3 linked regions of the Styela clava genome follow. The protein of the gene in region 2 interacts with the protein of the main gene of each other region in a pairwise test. Links are inferred from orthologs where the notes say so. Each region holds a gene or a part of one and is shown on either strand. Other genes may lie near its edges.

Evidence for each region.
Region 1: the proteins of general vesicular transport factor p115-like (region 2) and uncharacterized protein LOC120337842 interact in a two-hybrid assay, tested with the Caenorhabditis elegans proteins (2 studies listed by BioGRID). The link is inferred for Styela clava from reciprocal best matches to the Caenorhabditis elegans genes uso-1 and rsy-1.
Region 3: the proteins of general vesicular transport factor p115-like (region 2) and uncharacterized protein LOC120346764 interact in a two-hybrid assay, tested with the Caenorhabditis elegans proteins (2 studies listed by BioGRID). The link is inferred for Styela clava from reciprocal best matches to the Caenorhabditis elegans genes uso-1 and nhl-1.

The regions. Positions count from the first base shown.
Region 1 is NC_135259.1:16,063,442-16,071,682, reverse strand, and holds the start of uncharacterized protein LOC120337842, read right to left. Parts: upstream 3,404-8,241; 5' UTR 3,275-3,403; coding exon 3,217-3,274; intron 2,684-3,216; coding exon 2,604-2,683; intron 2,055-2,603; coding exon 1,853-2,054; intron 1,331-1,852; coding exon 1,229-1,330; intron 904-1,228; coding exon 768-903; intron 700-767; coding exon 624-699; intron 164-623; coding exon 1-163.
Region 2 is NC_135253.1:16,171,867-16,179,222, reverse strand, and holds the start of general vesicular transport factor p115-like, read left to right. Parts: upstream 1-4,298; 5' UTR 4,299-4,341; coding exon 4,342-7,290; 3' UTR 7,291-7,356.
Region 3 is NC_135257.1:20,853,161-20,861,259, reverse strand, and holds the start of uncharacterized protein LOC120346764, read left to right. Parts: upstream 1-4,914; 5' UTR 4,915-5,103; coding exon 5,104-5,231; intron 5,232-5,702; coding exon 5,703-5,838; intron 5,839-6,275; coding exon 6,276-6,398; intron 6,399-7,368; coding exon 7,369-7,473; intron 7,474-8,099.

The sequences.
Region 1 (8,241 bases), on a different chromosome or scaffold from region 2:
CTTGTCCGAAACCCTGATCCATCAATGGAGGAGTGAATTCATTTTCATTCTGTCCTTGCCATTGCAAGTGTGTTTGGTTCCAATTCCCTTTATTTCTTCTCCATGGTGGAGGTTGTGGATCACCAACTGTCCATAGTGTAGCATTCGAATGATCTTGGTAAAACTGATGTATAAAAATATTCATTGGTTAGTCAGTGTCATGTATTACTATAACCAAATCACAGATCTATAACGCATTTGATTGTATTTATGAATTGCAATTTTTTGTCTTTATAGTAAAATGAACAATTGGAGAACTAAGGACTATTAATAAACAAAGACAAAGAAATAATTGTTAATACTATAAAATCAGGCGAAATTTTTTCGGATACCCTTTATATATATATATATATTATATTTACAAATAGTACAACAGTTTACAATTCATTTTAAAATTCCAAATCTTCCCAAATTTGAAGAAGTGAATTTTTATATGGATTTCACTCCAAAAAAGGCTTTGTAAAAGCTACCTCCCTAAACCGTTGCCATTTTATGGTAAGACCATATCTAAATAATAACTCACTAACAAAAGTTTCTATCTGAAATATTCAACATCAAAAACACAAATCAATAAACAAAATTACATTATTCACCTGATCTTCAACAACAAAACTATTTTTTGGATGATAATCTTCAGTAAATCTTTCATCTTTTCTAAAACTAGAAAACATGAAGTTAATAACAAGAAAAAAACAAAAAAAATTTACATAGCATTCTTTTTATCTTACTTGAATTCTCCACTGGGATGTTGATGACTGTAATCTATTATTTCCTTGTGATTATCCGTTCTCAAATTTTGATCCATATTTCCAAGACCATCAACAGGCAATGGAGGCGGAGGTATTATATCTGCTACGTTGTTACCTGAGTTGGGACAGAGAATGAATATCAGCGAGGTTTATAGTAGGAAATTTTGGCCTTATTCAAACATATATCATTATTTTAATGCAGAACGAAGTAACACTGTACAATACTCAAAATAAATATTTTTAAAAAATAATGGTAATTTGGGAACTATTCCAATTTGAACATATTCACTAATAGATAATACAGATGATAAGAGAAATTTCCTCTTGAAAACTTTGTAATATACTGCTATCGAAAATATGTAACTCGTTTTAAGGATATGCAGAAATGATCAATCAATATTAGTAGATAGAAATAGATCTTATAGATATAAATTACCAACCATTCGTGGGTTCATCTTCTGGTGGAGGAAGTGGTGGTTTAGGTTCCTCATTATGTTGTGGTGGATGACCATTTCCAAACCATTGCTGCTGGTTGAAGTTTCCTAAATTCAGAAAATATAAAATTGACCAAGCGTTCTCTACAAACAATTAAAAAAAGGTTGCATACACCAAAGTTTTTGTTATCAAGATTCGCATTTCTTGGTAATTTAGAATCAAAATTTGGTGCTCCCGAAGTATGCGAACCAATATGGCGGACATCGGAACGTAACATGGGTAACAGGTTAGGGTTAGGCCATAATTTTTTTCCAATTTACCTTATTTTAGTCCTATTATCAGTTCGAAGACTAGCCAAGAGCCTCCCGTAGTATTTATACCTAAAATTATGGCCTAACCCTAACCTAGTACACATATAACATTCCGATGTCCGCCATCTTGGTTCGCATACTTCGGGAGCCCCCAAAATTTTCTAAAATCCTATAATCGGTGATCGAAATTTGCATTTTTGTCAGCATAGGGGCGGGAATCGAAGCTGATGTCGCTTTATAACTGTATCAGAAGATTGGGGTTTGGTAGTTTTCCTCAAATCTATGGTTCTCAATGAAAAACCTGAAAAGTTAAGTCACCTTGCCACTGCTGAGGATGTTGGTTCATTTGATTCCACTGCTGAGAATGATCTTGTTGATTCCATCCCTGTTGAGGTCCGTGTCCCCAGCCTTGATTTTGTTGCCAATGCCCTTGTTGTTGCCATAACATCTGCTGTTGTGTAGCAACTGGTACTTGCTCAGGAGGTATATTTTGTGATGGTTCAGGGGGTTTTGCCACATTCTGTGTATTTGATGATAGATTATGTTAGATAGGTACAGTTCAGTAAAACAAGAATAATGTGAATAACATTACGAATTCAATATGATAGAGTTCCCTGATTTTAAAAATGTCCCCAATATTTGGAAATATTAAACAAACACACAATTTGTTTCTGAAACAAGGGTGTCTGGGTATGATGGCACATTCAAAATATAGTGCGATGTTAGCCATGATATTATAAATCAATCGCAATATGCTCCGCTCCCGTTATCACACAAAACAAAGAAATACCAGCCCATTAAATTTTGCTCTTGAAGGCGTAAAAATTTTTCTGAAAAATCCAATGACATGATTTTCAAGATTTTACTTCTTTTTAGCTTATTATGCAGCTCTGCTTAGTGGTTTTTGTATGTATTTATCGTTTGAATAGACGTGTTTGAAGATTGAGGATGTCCCAGCCATTGTGAAATGCGAAATTCAGACATTACACATTTTCAAATGTGATCAGGCCTACCACTTAACTTTTTGAATGAGTAACAATAAATAATTGCGAAAACTGATTCTATATACCTGTTGCGGCAAATTCTGTTCATCTTCTGTTCCTTTCTGATGAATCCAAGCTTGAGCAAGAGCTGCCCAATCAACTTCACCTACAAAAATATAACATTCAGAAAAGTGAAATTAGACTTATTTCCGTAATATACCGTATACAAGGAAAAATGAATAAATATAACAAAAAATATAGCCTATGCCATTTCACAGACAAAAATGACTGACCGAATAACTAACTCTGTCATCCAATATCTGAATATAGTCATGAGTGTAAAATTATATGGTTATAGACATATCGGTACTGAACATAAGTTTATTATCATTATAGATTTCTTTATCCTGTTACAGTGTTGGTGATTTTTTCTATACTACAACATTGCAAAGACAGAAAGAGGCTTCATAGTCTGACAGTTCGCATGATCGATCATAACACATGAACACTGTTTGTTGTTCGACCAAACTTCTAAACATCTGGTACCAGTACGGTACCGGTATCTGTCTTAACACATGCGTTAACATTTTATTTCAGTTATTCATCTTAGCAAAAATAGCAATTTTAGTACCGGTATTTCAGTATTTGGTATAACATTACCAGTGAATGCAGTGATATAATATAATAGTCAAAACTTACCAGGATTTTGTTTTGATTGCTGCTGAAGAAGCGGCCAAGGTGCCTGCTGATTCCACATCCTATTACGGTACCGTTTACCGGCACAACCAGCAACCTAACTAAACGATAGCAGATTCAGCATTAGTGATTCAGCGCGCGTCGCTCATGAACTGAAAAACAGCTGAAGCTGCAGCTCTGCTGTTTTGAGTCTAGATGTCCGTCTCCAATTTTGCGCAGTATGAAATTTTCTATGCAGGTATGGAATTTAGCATGATCGAAATCACTAACTTGTTTTTAACACTGTCTTTAAGGTACTGACAGCTACTTTTCGGATGGTATATCCCAACTTTTCTGGGTCGTTTTTCTTTCTTTAGCGCAACTACAACACTTCTGAAGCAAAATGGCTGCTGAATTCAGATTCAGATTTTTATTTTCGTCATGCAAAACTAGTGTACAAAATGAAATAAATAAAAGGCGTGTAACAAATTACAAATACGGATCGTGGCTTGTTGCAATAGACGAGTGGTCGCGAAAGACTCAAAGAGTCATCCAGTCAACGACAACACGATTAATTTTTTTATTACTTGTTATTATTTTTATTATCACGATGACTGTTATTTTATTATGATTGACGAAAAAATAAATCTTTTTCTCTCTCTCTAACCTTGATGCTGAATTATTCGATTTGTATCGATGTCTAAAATTAAAAGCATAACTAAAAACTAACAAATGTCATTCAAAAGTACGGAAACTAGTCAATACGTGTCGCTTAAAATATATCTTGAAATAATATGTGTCCGATAAAGTTTAAAATTATCTCAACATCATTGACTGATTGCTGATAAGCAATTGTTATCGAAAAATAGCTAAATAAACAAGTCGATTGTAGGAGAGTCAGAGTTGCCACCTAATCCGGACATTACATGATCAGTTTTAATTTTTTGTTTATATATATTTATAACTCATACTTGAATTCAAGATTCTTAAGCTGAAAGATCGAAAACTGATAAATGTGCGCCTGAGCAGCGCCAAAGCATAATGTGAGACGATGGTGCATCACGCCATCTTGCGCACGCCTACTGCAAATATCGTAAATATACGACTTCTGAAGCCCTGTTAATTTCAATATAACGGCATGGCGCTTACAACTTGTATAAATTACACACTACATCAGTGATTTTCAGCGCCTTTTTTCAACGCTTTTGTCAACCCAAATGACTGGTGTTCCGCGAGAGACCTCCAGGTGTTCCGCGGAAAATTGCTTTTTCGTAGTATTATGACATCATAACTGATATTTAACCGTCCGATGAATTTATATAAATTTCACAAAGCCGCGGTTCACAAGCGCTTCAATCTCGCTACCATTTTCCACTACCTATCTTTGCGAAATGAGCTTTTTGAGCATGGCCGGTCTAGGGCTGGGCAAAATATTCGAATAGCGAATGGAATATTAAAATTTTCGAATGACATTTTACTATTCGTATGTACGATACCGCGTAATCTGTACCACTTTGCTTGGGCACGGAACTCGCGCCGGTGAATCGATGGCTTGGATTACGCGAGAATTCACCCTCGGCTTTTGCTGATATTTTGCAAAAAGCGCGCCGACACTAGTCTGTAAATGTAGAAACGTCAACCCAAATAATATATTTAAATAAAGTTACCAGATTATGAAGATGTTATTAGCCTCCTTATGCATGACCCGAATAGAAAATCATTATCGGAAATTAAGAGTTACAAAGACGTTTTCGATACATGGTGAAACGGCAATTTTAGGTCGTCAGAAAATTCGAGAAATGGTACTCCTGTAATATGCGAACCAAGACGTTGGACACCAGAACGTAGTATGTGCACCAGGTTAAGCCATAACCCTTATTTTAGCTCTATTACGAATTCAGGGACTAGCCAGGTGACTCCTATAGTATTTGTACCCAAAGTTATGGCCTGACCCTAACTTGGTACACATACTACGTTAATGTGTCAGCCATCTTGGTTCAAATACCACGGGAGTACCATATAAATAGCATAGATTTGAAAATGGCGAGTCAGAGTTTTGAAAAGCCGGTATAAAAACTTATAACCAGATAAGAAATGACAGGCCATAATTCTTTTCAATAGACTTTCTAATAGCTCGGCGTGTAGTTTTAGTGATCCATTTCATCCTTGACCAAATAATGTTTCAAAAATGTGAACATTATACTCGACCATGGATGGAGTCATCATCGGAATTGATTACATTCGTTGCATTTTTAAGCTTTTCTTGCAGTAATAATTAAGGCGTGGCATCATCAAAATCGTCAAGTGAAGTGTTGAATTTGCAAATTCCGTAAATACAATTGTGAATTTCTCGGTAACGATATTAGCTATGATAATGGTCGGAGTATTGATTTTGTTGAAAAATAAATCGTAAACTTGAGGTGAATAAATATAATCATCGTCTTCCCTTCTACTAGGCACAAAAGCACTTGGGCACAAAATTGTTTACATTTTTTTTGCTATCAGGTCGCGTATATAAGATATCGTTCAAGAGTACTGCCTAACGACCACGTAGAAATGCCTTTATTTCAGATTTTAAATCAACATTCATGATTCACGCAATCACAGCTTTGCAGATTTATCTAATCACAGTATCAAATTGATTTATTTCGAAAATACCACTAAGCCTAAGAAAGTCAATTGTCGTCTTAATAAATGTGTGCATCCCGTTGACGATAATGATAATATTATTTGCCCAAAACTGGGACGTTTAATTTGCAAACGACGATAAGTTAGATCAGAGTCGGCGCAAAAGATAAATATCAGAATACAATTAATTTGGCTTTGAAATCACTCCTTAAAGTAATTAAAATCTGTCGCCGATGTGAACTCATAAGTATGCCAATAATATGAAACTTCGATCTCCGCCGACCCACAGAAATTAAAATAGTTGTAAAAATATTAAAATAGCAAAAGAACAAAGGGCGGGAATATGGAAACGTTCAGGGGGACTAAATATCAGCGATTACGACAAAATTAACCAGTAAAAATCGCTTTGTTGCCGATTTTCAATGTTTCTGTTAATTTCCAAATCGACCTCCGACGTTCTGGACCCTGTTGTGTATAAAAAATATTCGTCATTGGACTATTCGGTATTTGTTAAGAATATTCGAATTATTTGATTCCAAAAAAAATGTTCGATTTGCCCACCCTTTTATTGGCCGCCATAAGAATATAAAAAACACCAGAAAATAGGAGTCGTTGAGAAAGATCTGCGTGTTTGTCCCTCTTAAATTCTAGCCAGAATAAAATATTGAAACTCATCGAAACAGGCCCAGATATCACATTAAAATACCATTTCTGTTCCTAGCTCATCATAGTAAGCATAAGCAAACTCGCAAAATGATTTATTTGTACCGTACTTTAGCTCTGAATCGGAATGTGTAACGTCTTCTCCAGCTGAAGTTGACAAGCTATATTATTAATTTCGTTGATTTATTTTATTCCGAAATGATCGATGTCAGTTAATTGCATAATATAGTTTATTTCCAAAAATCTGATTTGGTATTCCGCCACAATTTTAGAATAAAAAAAGTGTTCCGCGGTACAAAAAAGGTTGAAAATCACTGCGCTACATAACAGGCAGACATGTCATATCCAAGTTTTCCAATGACTGATGTATCGCGCTTACAGGTGGGGTTTGAAGTTGCAAAAGATTTATAATTATTGCAGAAAGTTATAATTATTTGTTACTGCATGTTGCAGACCTACATATATTGATCCTTTAATTTCTTGTATTTGATAGAAATATGATTATACGTTTTTATCACGCAGAGGTTGCATAAAGAATTCACAAATTTAGTTTGATATTGTTATTGCTGCTTCTTCTGCTAACTTAAAGATTGGTTTTAGCGTTAGTGAACTTGAGCAAATATCTGTAGAAGAGCATCTGTTGAATTTCTAGATTTGTCATATATATTTAATAACGTATTTTGTGATCATTCCGACATCTAGTTCTATCCTGACCAATGGTCATTCTTCATCATTTCATGCAGTGTTGGTGAGACGCGAGTTTGACCTGATTCGATTCGGACTGTAGTAACTTATTATTAGTCCTCGAGACTCGAGAAAATGTCTTTATCGTGACTGGCGTTGGTTCAAATTGTGTACATGCATGTACAAACGGATATTATGCAAACTATATATATATATATATATATCCGCTTGATTAGTGGTTCCCAACCGCCAGTCAGCGGATGCTTTTTTGCAGGTCAGCAAGAAATTTCGTTGTTTTGTTGTTTTTATGCCGTCTTAATCGCTTTACCGAAGACCAAAGGGTCACTTTGCCGAAGACGATGTTGCGTTGGTTTATTACGCAATTTCTCTGCCGCCGTCATAGTGCGGCACCGAGTGGTCACACTTTTCGCTTTCTCAGCTCCGATTCATCGCGAATGCGCTCCATCAAATCTCGCAAGATTCAGAAACCAAAAAATCTGCACGCGTGCTTTTTTATTCTGCGTATTTTTTCTGAATAGTATGACCATCCATATAAAACTTCATGCATATTTCTTTGTTTGAACCAAAAAAACAGTCAAGAACAGTATGATATTCTAGTAAGATATGAACTTGATGTGACCCTGTAGGTGGTCACGAGACACGCAAAAAAGCATGGGCCGCAGAGATCTTTCGCAGTATTTTGAGCAGACACAGTAGGATTTTGAGCCCGGTGCCAAGTTACCGACGACTTTGTCATTCTAAAGTAAATTCATTTAGTTTGAGGCGTCGATCAACTGCAGAGGGATTATTATGATGAACCCGATGGAAAAAAGAAAACGCTTGATTAAAAATTGTGATTCTATTTTACGGTCAAGATTTAAAAAAGAATCACTGTCTCAATTTCGGATATCTCTTGATAACGAATACCCATTGCTAAGTAGCCTAACCGAGCAATCAAACTATTGCCCGTATTTTCAACCAGTTACTGCGTTATGCAAAAAAAAACATTTTCATCACTAGCTTTAATTAAAACGAAGCAGACAAATCGGCTGCACGTCGCTGAGCTACGTGTTG
Region 2 (7,356 bases):
TTTTCTTTTGAAGAATAACACTATGTTTTTTTGTGGATGAGGTCGTTTATGTTCATTATCAAAAATAAAATTACATTGTAAAAAAAACACGAGATTTTTTAATAAACATCATATAAAAACCGACATTCTTTGTTTTACTTGTATTTCCTATACAAAAATCAAGTGACAAATATTATAATTGCGATGGTGACATCACACAATCTTGAATAGTGGTGTGTCTTCACCTTACCTCAGGTGATTGAACTATTCCGGTCCCACACATTTTAAATTTATTTTAAAGGTAGGGTTTAATTATGAATCATTTTTAAAATTCAAATTAGGTCTTATTTTCGAGGAAACACGGTAGTTTTGCGATTATTAGCCATTTCTGTGTTATGCCATAAAACATACAAAAGAAAATAGAACTAACAAAGATATTTTGTTGTGGGTCGCCATAAGCTGCGGTAATAAATAGTGGGTCCCAACTCTAAAAAGTTTGGGAACCACTTATCTAGTCTTTAGTTATGGTACGGTATGTTCTGGACAAGATCCTTGTCGATTTTTTGTGTCATTTTAATCATAATCGGCTGTCCCATAGTTGGCTCAACAATTTTGAGCACGCCTGTCTTGTCAACGCATCTTGACATCTTGTGAGCCTACGTGAGCTGGAACTTTGTGAGGGGAGAAAGATAATAGTCGGAATCACTTACGTTTCATTCGTCACTGGGGCATTGTGGGGGATAAAAATGTCTTCAATCGGTGGCAATCATCTACATCTGTCTTATCCTTGACCACGAGCATGATAGATTTGCATCAGGTGACACACTGTTATAGGATTTACATATTTATCCCAGGTTCGTTCGGATTCAAAATGGCGAGGAAGAAGATTTATCTTTCCCGAGCGGCTCTTCAAAGAGCGTTAATGTTGTGCTGTGATTTGTACCGCGTTTTTGATTTGGCGAATCAATAAATGACAGAGTAAATTTCTTCTCGCCTTTTATCGGCATGCCTCTGCCGCAATGGTAACTGCTTTTTGTCATTCATCATTTCCAAATGAGGTAATCGAGAATCCCTATAAAATTGTTGCATTTGTCAGAGAGAGTAGAAATCTCGGATTTGTCAATACGTCATTTTAATATTTTTGACGTGTCCGTATTGAGTCAAAGGTCAAAATAACAGTATCAGTGTGATTTTCCCATGCAACTCAGAGCCCTGGGCTGTAAGTGTACCGGTAAATGTCGTGATACTTTTAGTTTTTAGGATGGATTATATAGCCTAGGTTTCTTTTTTCGCAACGTGCAATAGTTGCACAAATTGTGTACATGACATTGAGAGGGGACAAATTGTGTACATTATAGTGATAGGGATACAATGTTACAATGCTGAAAAACTGAGACGAGAATAGGTCTCTGATATTTTGAATGAATTGGTCACCTATTTTGAGCCCGAAGATTCTATTGAATTAATTTCTAGTGTCAGAATGTAGCGCCATTGTATACCGGTACCTGGCGAAATATTTAAGTTCAAGCCAGATGAGATAGTACGGTACCAATGTCACATCCTGCTGTCCTGTGAAACTACAGTACCGGTATAAAAACTGAAAAAAGAAGGTCGTACCGGTACCGGTACGGTACCGTCTGACCGTACTGTGATAGTCATGGGAAATGCTACAAATCCTTTTTTTTAATATTTGAGGCAAAAAGAATCATTTATTACAGTATTAGAAAACTAAAAAATAAAAATGAAGAATCATGTGTACAGTAAACAAAAGACCCAATAAAACAAAGACTATTTTTAAACAATGTTGATATCGTCCAATAAAATAAGCATATAATTTAAAATATCCGATTCAACTGACTGAATTAATGGAGGCTATCAAAAGCCAGAAAGACAGAAAATAACCGGATTCAAATGGAATAAGAATTGAATTTTATGAAAGACATAGGAAATTATTACAACTCTGAACTCTTCTAAATTTTGATTTAAAATAATTAGTAAAATTCTTGCCAACAGAAATAAAATAATTCTACCAGGTATGCATTATTAAGAACAAAAAAAATTGGTGAAAATGCTTTATTATCATTTGATCTTATAAAAGTATGTGATTCGGTTAATTTAGATTATTTATAAGATTTTAGAAAGATTTGGGATAAAAAATGAATTTATCATGTACACCGTCTATATAAAGATGGTGAAACTAGGATACTAATAAACGATTATACCGATTGAGAAATGTTAGATGTGATTTCTGCTAATACTAATACTGGAAACTTGAACTGGAATAAGTGAAAAAATAGTGGCTGATCCTCAAAAAATACTTATTTCGTCAGAAGGAAAGTGTTTGATAGTAAAACTTGAGTTATTACCGCAAATTTTGTTTTTATGCAAAATATTTTCAATGCCAAAATATATTTCTCAAAAAGTAAATGAAATTGTAAATGAATTTTTACAATATTTATTTATATTCCTGGTATGTGTGTATTTGAATATATAGAAAACACCATTACCACTACCATTAAATAATAGTATGGTACATAGATTTATTCCACACGAGTATTATAAAAGTGTAATTGATTTTTTAGGAAATAATAGTTTAAATGCGTATGATATCAAAATGGGCAAACAATATTACCATATAAATGACGAAGTTATATACAAATTATATAAAAACTTTCAACTATAAATTCCTTGGGATATTTTTTCTTTGTAAACTAAGCCATAGATTAAAAAAAAATAGGAAAAAATGAAATGTGTGTATTATACAATGAGGAACCTGAGTTTATTTCACATATATTCATGTCTTGTGAATTTTCCCAGAAAATGTATGATGATTTCGTTTATTTAATTATATAAAAATACATTTTGTTATAAATTATGATTTTTGCATATTATTTAATTTCGATGATTCTTTATTTTGTCATATACCGGTAGCTACTGTAGATTTGAAAGCAATTAATTTTTTGTTATCAACAGAGTGATATAAATTTGGATCATGAGATATTCGATTACGGTATATTTGAATATAAAACACCTGATATTGCTCACTTTAAAATGCAGATAAAAATGGCCATAATATATAGAAAAAATTCTAGAGTAAACAAACCCTTTGCAAAAGAATTACAAAGTTTATGCAAACGAATTATTGGAAAAAATTAAGAAACTTAATTAAAATCACTTATGGAGTGAACCATTTAAAAAAAAAGTTTAGTTTGTTTTGATTCATTAATAAAGCTAATACAACAATACATAAATGGTAACAAGAAGTTGCTGAATATATCAGAAAAGAAATCAAAATATACTTAAACACAGTTGACCAATTGTTTATTTGTAGTCTAGTAGTATACCTAACTTAAATTTTACCCCATACTGGTACTGACATCATAACAACAGGTGGTACTGAACCACTGTTTACCTTAGTGATATCACCATGTAACATAGGTGAGTTTGGAAAGTAAACAAGCACTTTACACTCCCTACAGCGCTTGATTTCAAAAAACTGATAGACTGAGCAAAGGTCATAATGAAAATGTTTTGAATGTCTTTCTCCTCTATCAGTCTATCGTTATACAGTTATATGCATTATCCACACTTTACATCACTATTTTTTTCTCACATAGTGGCCTCAAAGATTATATATATGTATCTTATATAGATTGTTGCAATAAATAGAATCAAATTTTGAGTTTGAAAATTTTTTTATTCAAACTTTACATCTGTAGTTATAACTTTGTAACTGTATAAAGTTATATCTTTATTACCAGTGGTTATTTCATACCCCAATTTGCAGGCCTATCCAGTACTGTATTATTGCCAGAATTATGAAGTATCAGTGTTGCAAAAGCTTTTCGAAGTACAGGGCGATCAAAGTGTGAGGGTAAACTCAAATTTACCAAGATTATAAAAATCTAAATTGTAAATTTTTTAACTGCTAAGTCGTTAGATCCCGCTGTTTTATTTCATAAAAATAAAGCTTCATTTGTCCAACACCAGCTTGTCCATCCATATTGACAAAGACTGTCAAGATTTTGAATTTCTTTCGATCCGCCTTCTTAATGCAGATCTGCACTTTCTACATGATTGACATAAAAGTACGTAGAAACAGAATGAAATTACTGTAATTATAGAATCTCCCGAAATGATACACGGGGTTAGGCGTAGGCTGGTTTTGAAAAGGCACTTCCATTTCCAAGTGCCATATTGCCCACCAAAACATACACTCGCAGACTTGTTTGACTGCTATAAAAACTTCTGGGGAATGGAAGCATTGGACCAATACCCCAAATCCAGTAAAAAAATAGTCAAAACCACTAACTATTTCATTTTCTTTTTTCATAAATAGATATCAATAAACAGCATTACAAAATGAATTATTTTAAATCATTTGTGAAAGGCAGTGATGAGCAACAGCCGAGTGGAGCAGAAACCGTATCAAGACTTTGTGATCGTGTTGCATCATCTACGCTCCTTGAAGATCGTCGAGATGCTGTTCGTGCATTAAAATCATTGTCGAGAAAGTTTAGATATGAAGTTGGCACACAGGGAATGGCTCATATTGCTACTGTTTTAGATCAAGACGCAAATGATGATGAAATGGTGGCATACGCACTCGATACATTATGCAATCTTATGTCTGATATGGAAGAAGATGATGACGTAGTTCCGCAACCTGAATTAACTCGTACATTTGTCGAAAAATTTACCGCAGAAGAGAATAATATAAATGTGGTATTAGATTTCGTTGAGCGATATGATTTTAGTGTTCGACTCTCCGCACTACGGCTTATGATTTCATTACTGAAAGGTCAACCTGGTAAAATACAAGAAACTGTGCTTATGAAACCCATGGGTATATCTCGACTAATCGATTTATTGACCGATTCAAGAGAGGTCATTCGAAATGATGCGTTATTGTTGCTCATAGAACTGACGCGTGGAAATTCCAACATTCAAAAAATTATTGCTTTTGAAAATGGCTTTGATATTATTTTGGATATAATAAGGGCAGAAGGGATGAGTGATGGTGGAGTTGTAGTAGAAGATTGCCTTTTGTTGTTACTACATTTACTAAAGAGAAACACATCAAACCAGCAATTTTTCAAAGAAGGTTCATTTGTGCAGCGTTTGACACCATTTTTTGAAATTGATTCAGAGTCTGTATGGTCTGCACAAAAAGTTGCGAATTTGCATCTCATGCTGAAACTTGTAAGAACGTTGGTTGCACCTTCAAATCCATCGAATGTGACATCTTCTTGCCAGCTTGTAATGCAGCAATGTGGATTACTAGAGAGGCTGTGTAATATGTTGATGGCCACTGGTGTCCCGGCAGATATTTTAACAGAAACTATCAATACTGTTTCGGAAGTTATTAGGGGATGTGAAGCTAACCAAGCTATGTTTGAATCTGTTCATGCACCTTGTGAGCCCCCTCGTCCAGCGATTGTTGTTTTGTTGATGTCAATGGTCAATGACAAACAGCCTTTTGAATTACGGTGTGCTGTTTTGTATTGCTTCCAATGCTTTTTACATGTTAACCCAGCAGGACAGACAAAAATTGTCAACACATTACTGCCTTCCTCACTTCAGTCACAACAAATTTCTGCCGGTCAGCTGCTTTGTGGAGGATTATTTGCTGCTTCTGATCCACTGTCTAATTGGTGTTCTGCTGTCGCGCTTTCACATGCATTAAATCGTAATACCGAAATGAAACAGCAACTGTTACGAGTGCAACTCGCGACAAGTGTAGGAAATCCACCTATATCTTTGCTGCAGCAAATTACAAATATAGTTAGGCAATCAACGAGCATCCAAAGTCGAATGGGTCTACTTATTCTATTGTGCAGTTGGCTTTCTGGTTGTCCAATTGCTGTTTCCCATTTATTACATGATTCAGATGCTGTTCCTTTCCTTTTGAGCCAAATAGCCGAGCACGGAAATGAATTGGACCACGTTTTGCATGGAGTATGTGCTCTTTTGCTAGGAATATGCATTGTTGATAATGATGGTTCAGTTCCTCAATGCACGAAAGAGTCACTCATTGAGTTAATTGTAGCAAGAGTAGGAATTGAAAGATTTTGTGACTCTCTCGGAGCAGTTACAAAACATGATCTGTATTCTAAAGCGTTTCAACGTTCTCAACCTGTTGCACCATCTTCAGATGATATGTTGTTCGATCATAATTTTACTAAATTGTTCAAAACTTTGGAAGATAATATTATAAAAATGGTTTCAAATTTAGAGGATGTCAAGAAAGAGGAAGAATCAAAAGCCGCCATCAAGGCCCATGATTCTATCATAAAGGAATATCAGGCTCTAATAAGAAGTCAAGATACAGATTTAAAAGAATTGAGATCTCGTGTTTCCAGTCTTGAATCTGAATTATCACAAACAAAGGAAAACTTGGATGAACGCACAGCACAAGTTCAGCAATTAAAAGATCAATATAACGTATTGAAAACCATGCATGATTCTTCATCTGGGGATGGTGTCAGCGATGCTGCCGAGTTATTGTCATCTTTGAATGTGCAAATTGAGGAACTGAAGCAAGAAAATGCAGAAAAAAATGCAAAATTACAAGAAAAAGAAAATTCTATTCAACAGTTACGTAATGATCTTGATGGTTTAGAACTTCGTTCTCTGCAACTCTCGTCCTCTGATGAAACTCAACAAAACAACAATCAACAAAGCAATACTAACATACCAGATGACAGTATACATGCCATCAATGTGCCTGATGATTCGAGACTACAAGAACATAGATTAGTACAACTCACAAATGAAGTTGATTCATTACGATCCCAACTTCAAGCGAAGGATGAAGAAATTTCTAGGTTGTTATCAGAAGGTGCACGCTCTCAAAACACAACTGATGAAGTGTATGATGTACTTGTTTCTGAGAAGACGTCAATGCAAACAAAGATTCATGATCTTGAATCCAGATTGAATGTTACCAGCCAAGAAAACCTCACACTTCAGGATAAAATCTCAACACTTGAGGAAAAACTCTCCAATTTACAGAGTAAAGAAGAATCTCTTGTACAACAAGTTACCGATGCAAACTCCAAGGCAGAAGAGGCAAAAGCACAAGCTGAAGATTTCAAAAAAGAGCAAGAAGATTTGCTTATTCTTTTATCAGACCAGGAGACAAAGCTAGAATCTTATAAAACTAAAATTAAGACTCTAGGTGGGGAAATATCAGATGAAGATGATGATGAAGAAGAAGAGGATGATGAGGAAGATGAAGATGTTATAGAATCCTTAAAGCAAAATTCTCAACCTGGAGACACTAATGGTGTTAACACCCACCCAGAATAATGTCAAAAATAATTCTTGAAAATATTTTTATTCCATATTAGTACAAATTCTATTTAGACTGCTGTA
Region 3 (8,099 bases), on a different chromosome or scaffold from region 2:
ACGGCTCAAAATATGCAAAAGAAAAAAAGTGTCCCCACTTTCCCCTACTCCATTTTATCCATGCAATTCCAATGCACTTGTTTTTGCAGGTGTTCTTGTTCACACTGCTCTTAACAACCCAATCCAGCATCATGCATTTGCTGTCATGAAGCCCCAACAGTCAAAATAGTTTTGGAACGTTTGGCTACACAGCATGGAATCTAGGTTCAATGAATTGTTGATCATCCTGGATTTGAGTCAATATGCCTTAATGTTTTTGTACTTGAAGCCACTTACTGCAGATATGCAAATATCTGAAGCAAAATCAGTGCGGGACCAAATGAGTAAGTTTAGGTTACGTTTGAATCTGTTTATCTGTCATTTCTTTGGATCTCAATGGATGTATTTTTTCAGGCGTAACCGTTAAACTTCCTACCGATCATTCGTGAAGTCGGGATGTTGGGACAGGGTGGGCAAAAAAATAAGCTTTCCACTCCCATCTTGTGTGGTTGTTGAGATAAGAAAACATTTTGAATCCCCCTCATACACAGGATTCCAACCACCCTCACTTTAGAAAAAAGTTTCTCAGCAAAATGCATGAAAAGGGCCAACTCAATATTTATAACAAGAAGTATTGAAACAATGGAGATTTTAGATAAAAAATGTATTGGCACGAATGAATTACCAGAAAATTAGAACTAAATTGATAAAAAATAGACCAAGAAGGGCGAAGGGATAAATTGCATTTAATGAACTATGGGCTGTGGAGCAGAGGGTACAAATTTCAAACTTCAATGGCCTGATTTGCAGAGATTAGTCTCTCTCAATAAAACAAAAGCTTGCATAAACCAAATTTGATTTCCTGAAAGGTTAGAGCCGAAATTGCTTGCATAATTTTTTCCGACTCCACAGCCCTAGTTGTCAATACTTGACTATTAAAACAGTTTTACAGCTGCTGTATTGCAAGCTCCTTATCTGGTCTTTCACACCTGGAAGACAAGGTCGGTAATGGTGACAGATCATTCTGGCTTGTGGTTGAACTGTCATCAACCTCTGAAATCACTTTCTGAAGCAGGACTTGCACATATTCTGTGAAAAAGATGGCGGATCACTTATACTTCTGTTTTTCAGGTTGAACCAATTAAATTTTACGGACTCACCAAAACACGACTCAGAACGTAATCCTCGAATACCGATTATATCCACACTGGCAAAAAATAGCTTTGGTTACCACCATGGATCCAACCACCTTTTCCACATCAACGGTACAAATTCCAAAGCACTTTTCACAACTAGCAAAGATTTGCAAAAGTTTATGTAGACTAACGATGTATTCCTCTTTTATAATTTTGTATGACTCTCCTTCTCTATAAATTAATTATAAGTTAAATGAAAATGTCTATAAAAATATGCCTTCAAGGATCGATACTTACCCACTGCGTGACTCATCTGAAACACTATTCAAGTCATAGCTACTGTCTGTACTTGAGTCGTCATTCATATCAGAAGTGTCAGAGTCAACAACCATCTTATGCTCCTGTGTTTTGAACAGTTGTAGCGGAGGTGCAACTATCAGATCACATTGTAAGCAGTGGTGAGCTGTAGCCGGAAGGCACTGGAACGGCGTTCCGGTTGTTGGACGTCTTATTGCATTTGCGTTCCTGTTGTTGAAATAAAATTATGGTATAAAAAGTCTAGTTTTTCTGGTAAACTTAGGTATTAATTTATGTTTTGTTACATCATACTTCGTAAATATATTTACATCACACCACGCAAATGATTAGTACAGAAGTAACATGTAATATTGTCGTTTCCCGACCTTTGACCCCATACAAATTCATTCTATAACTTTCTATTAATAACGTTTGTATTGAATTGCTATGAATATTCTTGTAATTTTACACAGAGATATATTTAGACAATTTCTTCATATTTCATTGCAGTTCTTCTTCGCCTCTATCTTAAAACAGACAAATCCTTCTGTAACGTCCGCGTCGTGTTGTAAATATTACATTTTTGCGAATTAGGTGCGTTCCGGTTGTTACGATTTTTCCAGCTCATCACTGATTGTAAGCCGACAGATCTTGTACTGGTATAAGATTGGCATGCTGCAACAGATATTGAATAATAAGAAAGAAGCAGCTCAACAATAATATAAAACCTAAAGCTGAATATACGTCTAGTTCTTAACCTTTACTGTGATTTCCACGTCTCTGTAGTGCCTGGGTGTGCTTAGACTGCTGTGTTATTTTCTGAAATGGCAAAAGTTTAACAATTTATACTCTAAAGTCTAAACTGTTTGACAACATAAACTGCAATTAATGCTTCTGACTAACCATAAGTTTATACTCTGTAACTGTTTTATTGCACGAAGTCTTTTCTGGCTCATGAGTTTGATCAATTGGTGTTTGCTAAAAAAAAATTCAGAGGAGGAATAACAATAGCCTGATCATATATTTGTTTTCTAACCTTTAGTCAATTCTCTGAAAATATTACTGCACCTGTGATAACAAAGCTTCATCATGTGTAAAGCCACTGGTGATATAAAAAAACTAACTGATAAATATGCATATATAAAAACAAGACCTGTCATTGAATAATTTCTTTCTACAAACCACCGCTCCCTCCTTTTTGTGCACCACATATCTTGTTTTTTTTTTCCAAATAAGATTCACTGCCAACTTCGGTTAAAACTCTCTGTCTGACCTCATCATAATAAGATGTCATTATCTCAACATAACTTTCTGGACTGAATGGCTTAGTGGTCTTTTGTGTGTTCGACAAGAGAAATCAGATCGGGCTAGTTTGACAAACAAACTCCCACGTCTTCGAAACGTCTCATTGAACATAACAATACACTCAACTTGATTGCATTTATTACAAGTCTTTGTTTCAAGTACACATCAGAAGAGTCGTCAATATAACTGAAGTTGTATGGTGGTTTGATCTTGGCTGTTTCTAGTATTACGGATTCTAAATTTGCCATGATTGCATTGGCGTATTTAAGTGTCATTTTGGTTCACATTGCTGTTCTGTTGATTTGGAGGCAATGTTTGTCATTATATACAAAATTGTTGTTGTTCAGAACCATATTAACTGCGTTTGTCATTGCTGTGCTCCATAGGATACTTTTCTACTGATGAAGATATTGAATACTATTCATGTAATAATCCGGCCCGCCGAGGACTTCATTTTCCCACATCTGACCCGCCGACTAAAGAAGTTGCCCACCCCTGGACTAGTCTATCGCAGCATTTGCGAGACTCATTTTTGATTACAGCAACTAAATTAATGCTCATTTGAAGACATAATGACAATCAAGATATTGAATTCGCAACTATTTTTTCGAAACACAACTGAAAACTGACAAATAACCCGCAAAACTACAAATACGAGGCAGTGTTTACTATACAACCATACTTGAGGGATGGAAGTGTCTGAGCGGCTGCAGAAATTGCAATTGTTACATCATTGTTGACTTTTTGTTGATTGGTTATGGTTATGGAAATAAACAAGGAAATTGATGCCCGGGAAAAGAGGCATAAAGGCCGTACAGCGAATACATACAGTATGGAAGATAAAGCGTTGTCGGCATATTTTAGCCAACTCAAAAGTTTAATTGTTGCAATAATTCAAAACTGCTTGCGTACCACAGGTTGAGAACCACTGTATGGACCTTTCCCCGACCTCATGTACCGTGTCGTCACCATAGTTACAATCAAACAACGCTGATTCAAGACAACGGTCTTGTTGTCTTAAACTTGAGTCGCAGTCCTGACCGCGTTAAATATACCTTAAAAACACCTTGAAACAAAATAAAAATATTTCTTAGCATATGAATGATTGTAAACATTTCTTATTTCTCACAAAACAAAAAAAACATGGCGGGTATAGAGTAAACCGAAGTGATTGAGGTAAACAAGCGTAACAAGTGCTCCCAAACACAAACTATAAATATGATTATAGATTTAACGAGTTTTTTATAATGCATTTTGGAATTCAAGTTATACCTATTTATACTTTTATTCTTCACGTTTAGTTAGCATAATTAACAGGCAAATTTCAAGTCATATTCGCGATGAGCATTCAAATATTTCGGAGGAACACGACATTTTTGTTGTAAACAAAGACCTGATTACAAACCAAACGCAGATCGAGGCTTAATTTCCAATTGGTGTTCAGTTTCATATTGGGTTTATTGAGAGTTAAAAGTCTTTGATATCATATCCAGTTGCCATTACAAATTAATGTTTTCGGCACTAGAGCTTTTGAAGTGGCATTACATCACATGGAACAGGCTGTTTTTATCAATATATCAAGTGGCATTTCATGTGTTATTTTGAGTGCTTACGCCGATCCACGTAATGTTTTCTGGTATGTTTTATTTATTAGGAAGGGAAATGCAGGATTAGGAGTTGACTTGGTTTTATATTTTTTTGTGTATTGATGTATGAGAGTCCCACAGTTTTTTTTTTATTACTGAAACGCAGTGATGAGTATGTAATGAAGGAATGGAATGAAAGAGGAATGTTAGGATACCCAATATACAAGTATTACTATTTGCATGAACCATATTAAAGTACCCAATTTACACATTGTATGTCAGTATGCAAGATCGTCGAAGGGTATCAAGGCTCATGACCATGTGGACTGTCATAATTGGTTGCAACAACCACTTATATTGTTTAAAATATGAAAGTGCAACTTTCATAAAGCTAAGAGATTGAAATTAAATAAAGTAGTTTTTATGCATAGTGAAGCAGCGGTAAAGAGTTCAAATATTATCGAGAAGAGGGGTGTAACGACAAAGGTTGAGAACCCACTGCTTCAAGCGAGCTTGAATAGAAAATTAAATCTGCTCATTTCTTTTGATGTTTCACGTAACATGGTCTTCACTACAATACAATAAAGATGAGTTAAATCTTAAAGTTTCTTTTTTTCCATTCATACCAGACATTGGAAACGTATGTTTTGAATAAAAAAAATTAAGTAAACAATATTCAACAAAATACAAAGTCAACTGGATAGTATATAAATAAATGTAAACAACATACAAACAAAAATACATACTGAAAGAACATAAAACATCGGAGTTTCAGGGAGACTACATGGAGACTCGTTAGAATGGACCAGATAGAGCAATTGCTAACTTGCCCGGTTTGTCTTGACCGTTTTAAACAACCGAAGATACTACCATGTCAGCATACATTTTGTTTGAGACCATGTTTGCAAAATTTAGTGACGGATCGCAGGTGAGTTCTCTATTACTCAGTGAAGGCGGCAATATCACCTCTCTACAGTATCTAACAGAATGAGATTATTTGGACCAGTCTTGCCTCAATGACTTGCAGTGGCAGAGTCAGAATGGCGGGCTCGAATGATTGGGCGATTGAGTTATCATTTTAATCGTTAAAACCTCCCTTCCATCCCATTTCTGTGTTCTCCATGTGGGTTGCTGGTTTGAATCGATCAGGAATAAGTATGCATGAGAGTATTGCTAGATTCCTCTTTGATTTAGGTGGTGATTTGCCAATTGGTAAGCCGTCTTATCGTTTTTTCTCTCCCCCTTGATAAATTTGAAAATAATATTATTTTTGTCTGAAAGTATTTTTATACAAAAGCGGGAGCAGAAGGGGAAAGGGGTCATAGAACATGAAAGTTTGAGGACTTCTGGCTTAGTACAATACACCAAATGAGGTTTCAAAGTTGACTATTTTTTGCAGCATTCGATGTCCAGAATGTCGTTCTACACATCTTCTGCCTCGTAATGGTATCAATGGACTTCCAAATAATTTAACCATTGTTAAGTTTCTTGATCTTCCTACCCAGAGATCTTCCCCTAAGGAAATCGTTTGCCAGGTAAGAGTGGGAAATGTCTTGTTCAGGGTAAATTTGTGAAAAAGTAAATCCTGAGTTCCTGCGGAAAATTTTTTTTGTTCAGCTGATTATGGAGTGGAAATAAACTAATTATACTTTAGACTCTAGAGTTGTTTGAAAGTCGATTTTAAACTTTTACTCTCCGGTAACTCACTATAAACATATATTAAGTGAATGCCCATGACTATAATCTAAGACGCACCAACAGAACTGTGTAATCGGCTCCAAAGACACACATAGACGCTTCACCTTTACAGTTGGTTGGTCATGATCTGTTAACTGATGACATCACTGGTCATATTCATTCAACTGGCCAAACACTAGTTGCCAGAAATACAATAAATATCAATAATATCCACTGCCCTAGTAATCGGCATGGCTTTACATCAAGATCTTCAAATTCTTCAATTTTGTTTTAGGAATGTGGCAAGAAGAGCTGTGAACCAGAGAAGTGCAATCATTGTGAAAAACTTCTTTGCGAAAATTGTTTGACGAAACATTCACATATCCTGAAGCAAGATTTAGACAGAGCAGTTTCACAGGTAAATTGTGGGTACGATGACGCAGTCGTTTTCAACCTTTCCGTCAGAGCGGAACCCCAATTGAAAATTTCATAAGCTTAAGGAAGTCCTGTATAATAGTTTATTTTTCTTATGCAGAAAATTTCATATTTAAGCGATTCTAATACTGGCAAAACAATTTGATCTTCAAAATGCTATTCAATCTTCAATTGATATGCCTAGCGTTATGCACAAATCGAATATTGGATCTCCACTCTGGGAGACCCTTATTCTCAGCCATTCTGTGTGTCTAGCTGTAGGGTCTAAACTGCTCGGTCGACCCGGTTGAAATTTCTCAAACGGTTCATGCTGTGAGTAATTCGGTTTCACCGAAAGTCCGGATTGGTGTTTCGTTCCCATTGAATCAGGGAAAAAATGCGCCGATCGTTGAGAAATAACTGTTTTTCACAATTTGTCCCCATTATCTCATAACCAGGCTCGGAAATTAAGATTTCAAGATCAAGGACACATGCAGTTACTTAAAATGAACTGGCAATTTCGGTATCCCAGTCACTGCTGTTGTAATATGTTTTGCGTGGATGGTAACGTGTTACTGAATTTCGGGCCACCTTGTGTATCAGCGGAGATCCTGTACGCCTACCGGCTTGTTTTATAAGGAGTGCATAAATATATGTTGTAAAATTACCTAATGAATATTGCATTGCACCAAGTAACAAAACTCCTCCCTGGAGAGGAATTCCTCGTCAGTTGGAAATCTGTGTCTTCGGTGGGGTGGGATTAATTTTTCTAAAGATGTTTATATGTTTCATTCCTGAACCAGTTTTCGTATCCACTGAAATATAAGGAGCTATTATGGTTCAAAAAGACCGTAATTTTCTTCCAGTTTGTCACTCAGAATAGTCACCTGAATAAACGAAATTCTCTCTACAGCCTTTTTTTCAAAAATGTAGAATTGTTGAATTTTATATACTGGTATATATTTTTTCTGTAGGTCAAAAGACTTCTCCCTAAGGTATCAGAACTCATCTCTGACCTTGAAGAAAGGCAAAAAAAGTCAAAGGAAAATGGGGAGGCAGTGAAACTAGAAATTGCGCAGGTAGTCACTTAGTTATTTAGAGTAGGTTTAAGCTGATTTTTGAATTTTTACAAAATCAGACTTCCAAGCGCAACTAATGAACTTTTGAACCACTACTGCACAGCATCTTTCATTTATGCTCCTTTCACAAGAATCTGCCAGGATAAAAAAAAAGATAATACAGGAGATACATTGCCTTGATCACCGCTTGAACATTTTCAATTTTATATTACCGTATTTTTCGGCTAGTAAGCCAAAGCAAATTTTTGCTCTGAAATGGGTATTTTTCCATATTTCTGTCCGATAAGCCGAGGCAGAAAAATCTTAGTTAAGCACCAATGCATGCTTTATTTTTATGATTCTATTTTACTCATTTTTTTGTTTCTCAGTTACGCACCAATGCGCCTCTCTCTTTAATTTGGTTGCAGTACACGTGCTAAAACTCCATGTTTCCATGATTCACACATGCTGGTATCGCTAATTTCTTTAGCTCATGATGCGGACACAAATGTGGCAACATTAAATATAATGATCACAGCGGGTATATTCCAAATTGGCGGTGTGAATCACGAAAACTAACGGAGAGCGTACATCATTGTGCCCCTTTTCCGGTGTTTTTTAGTCCAAAGCTAACAACAAAAAAAGAA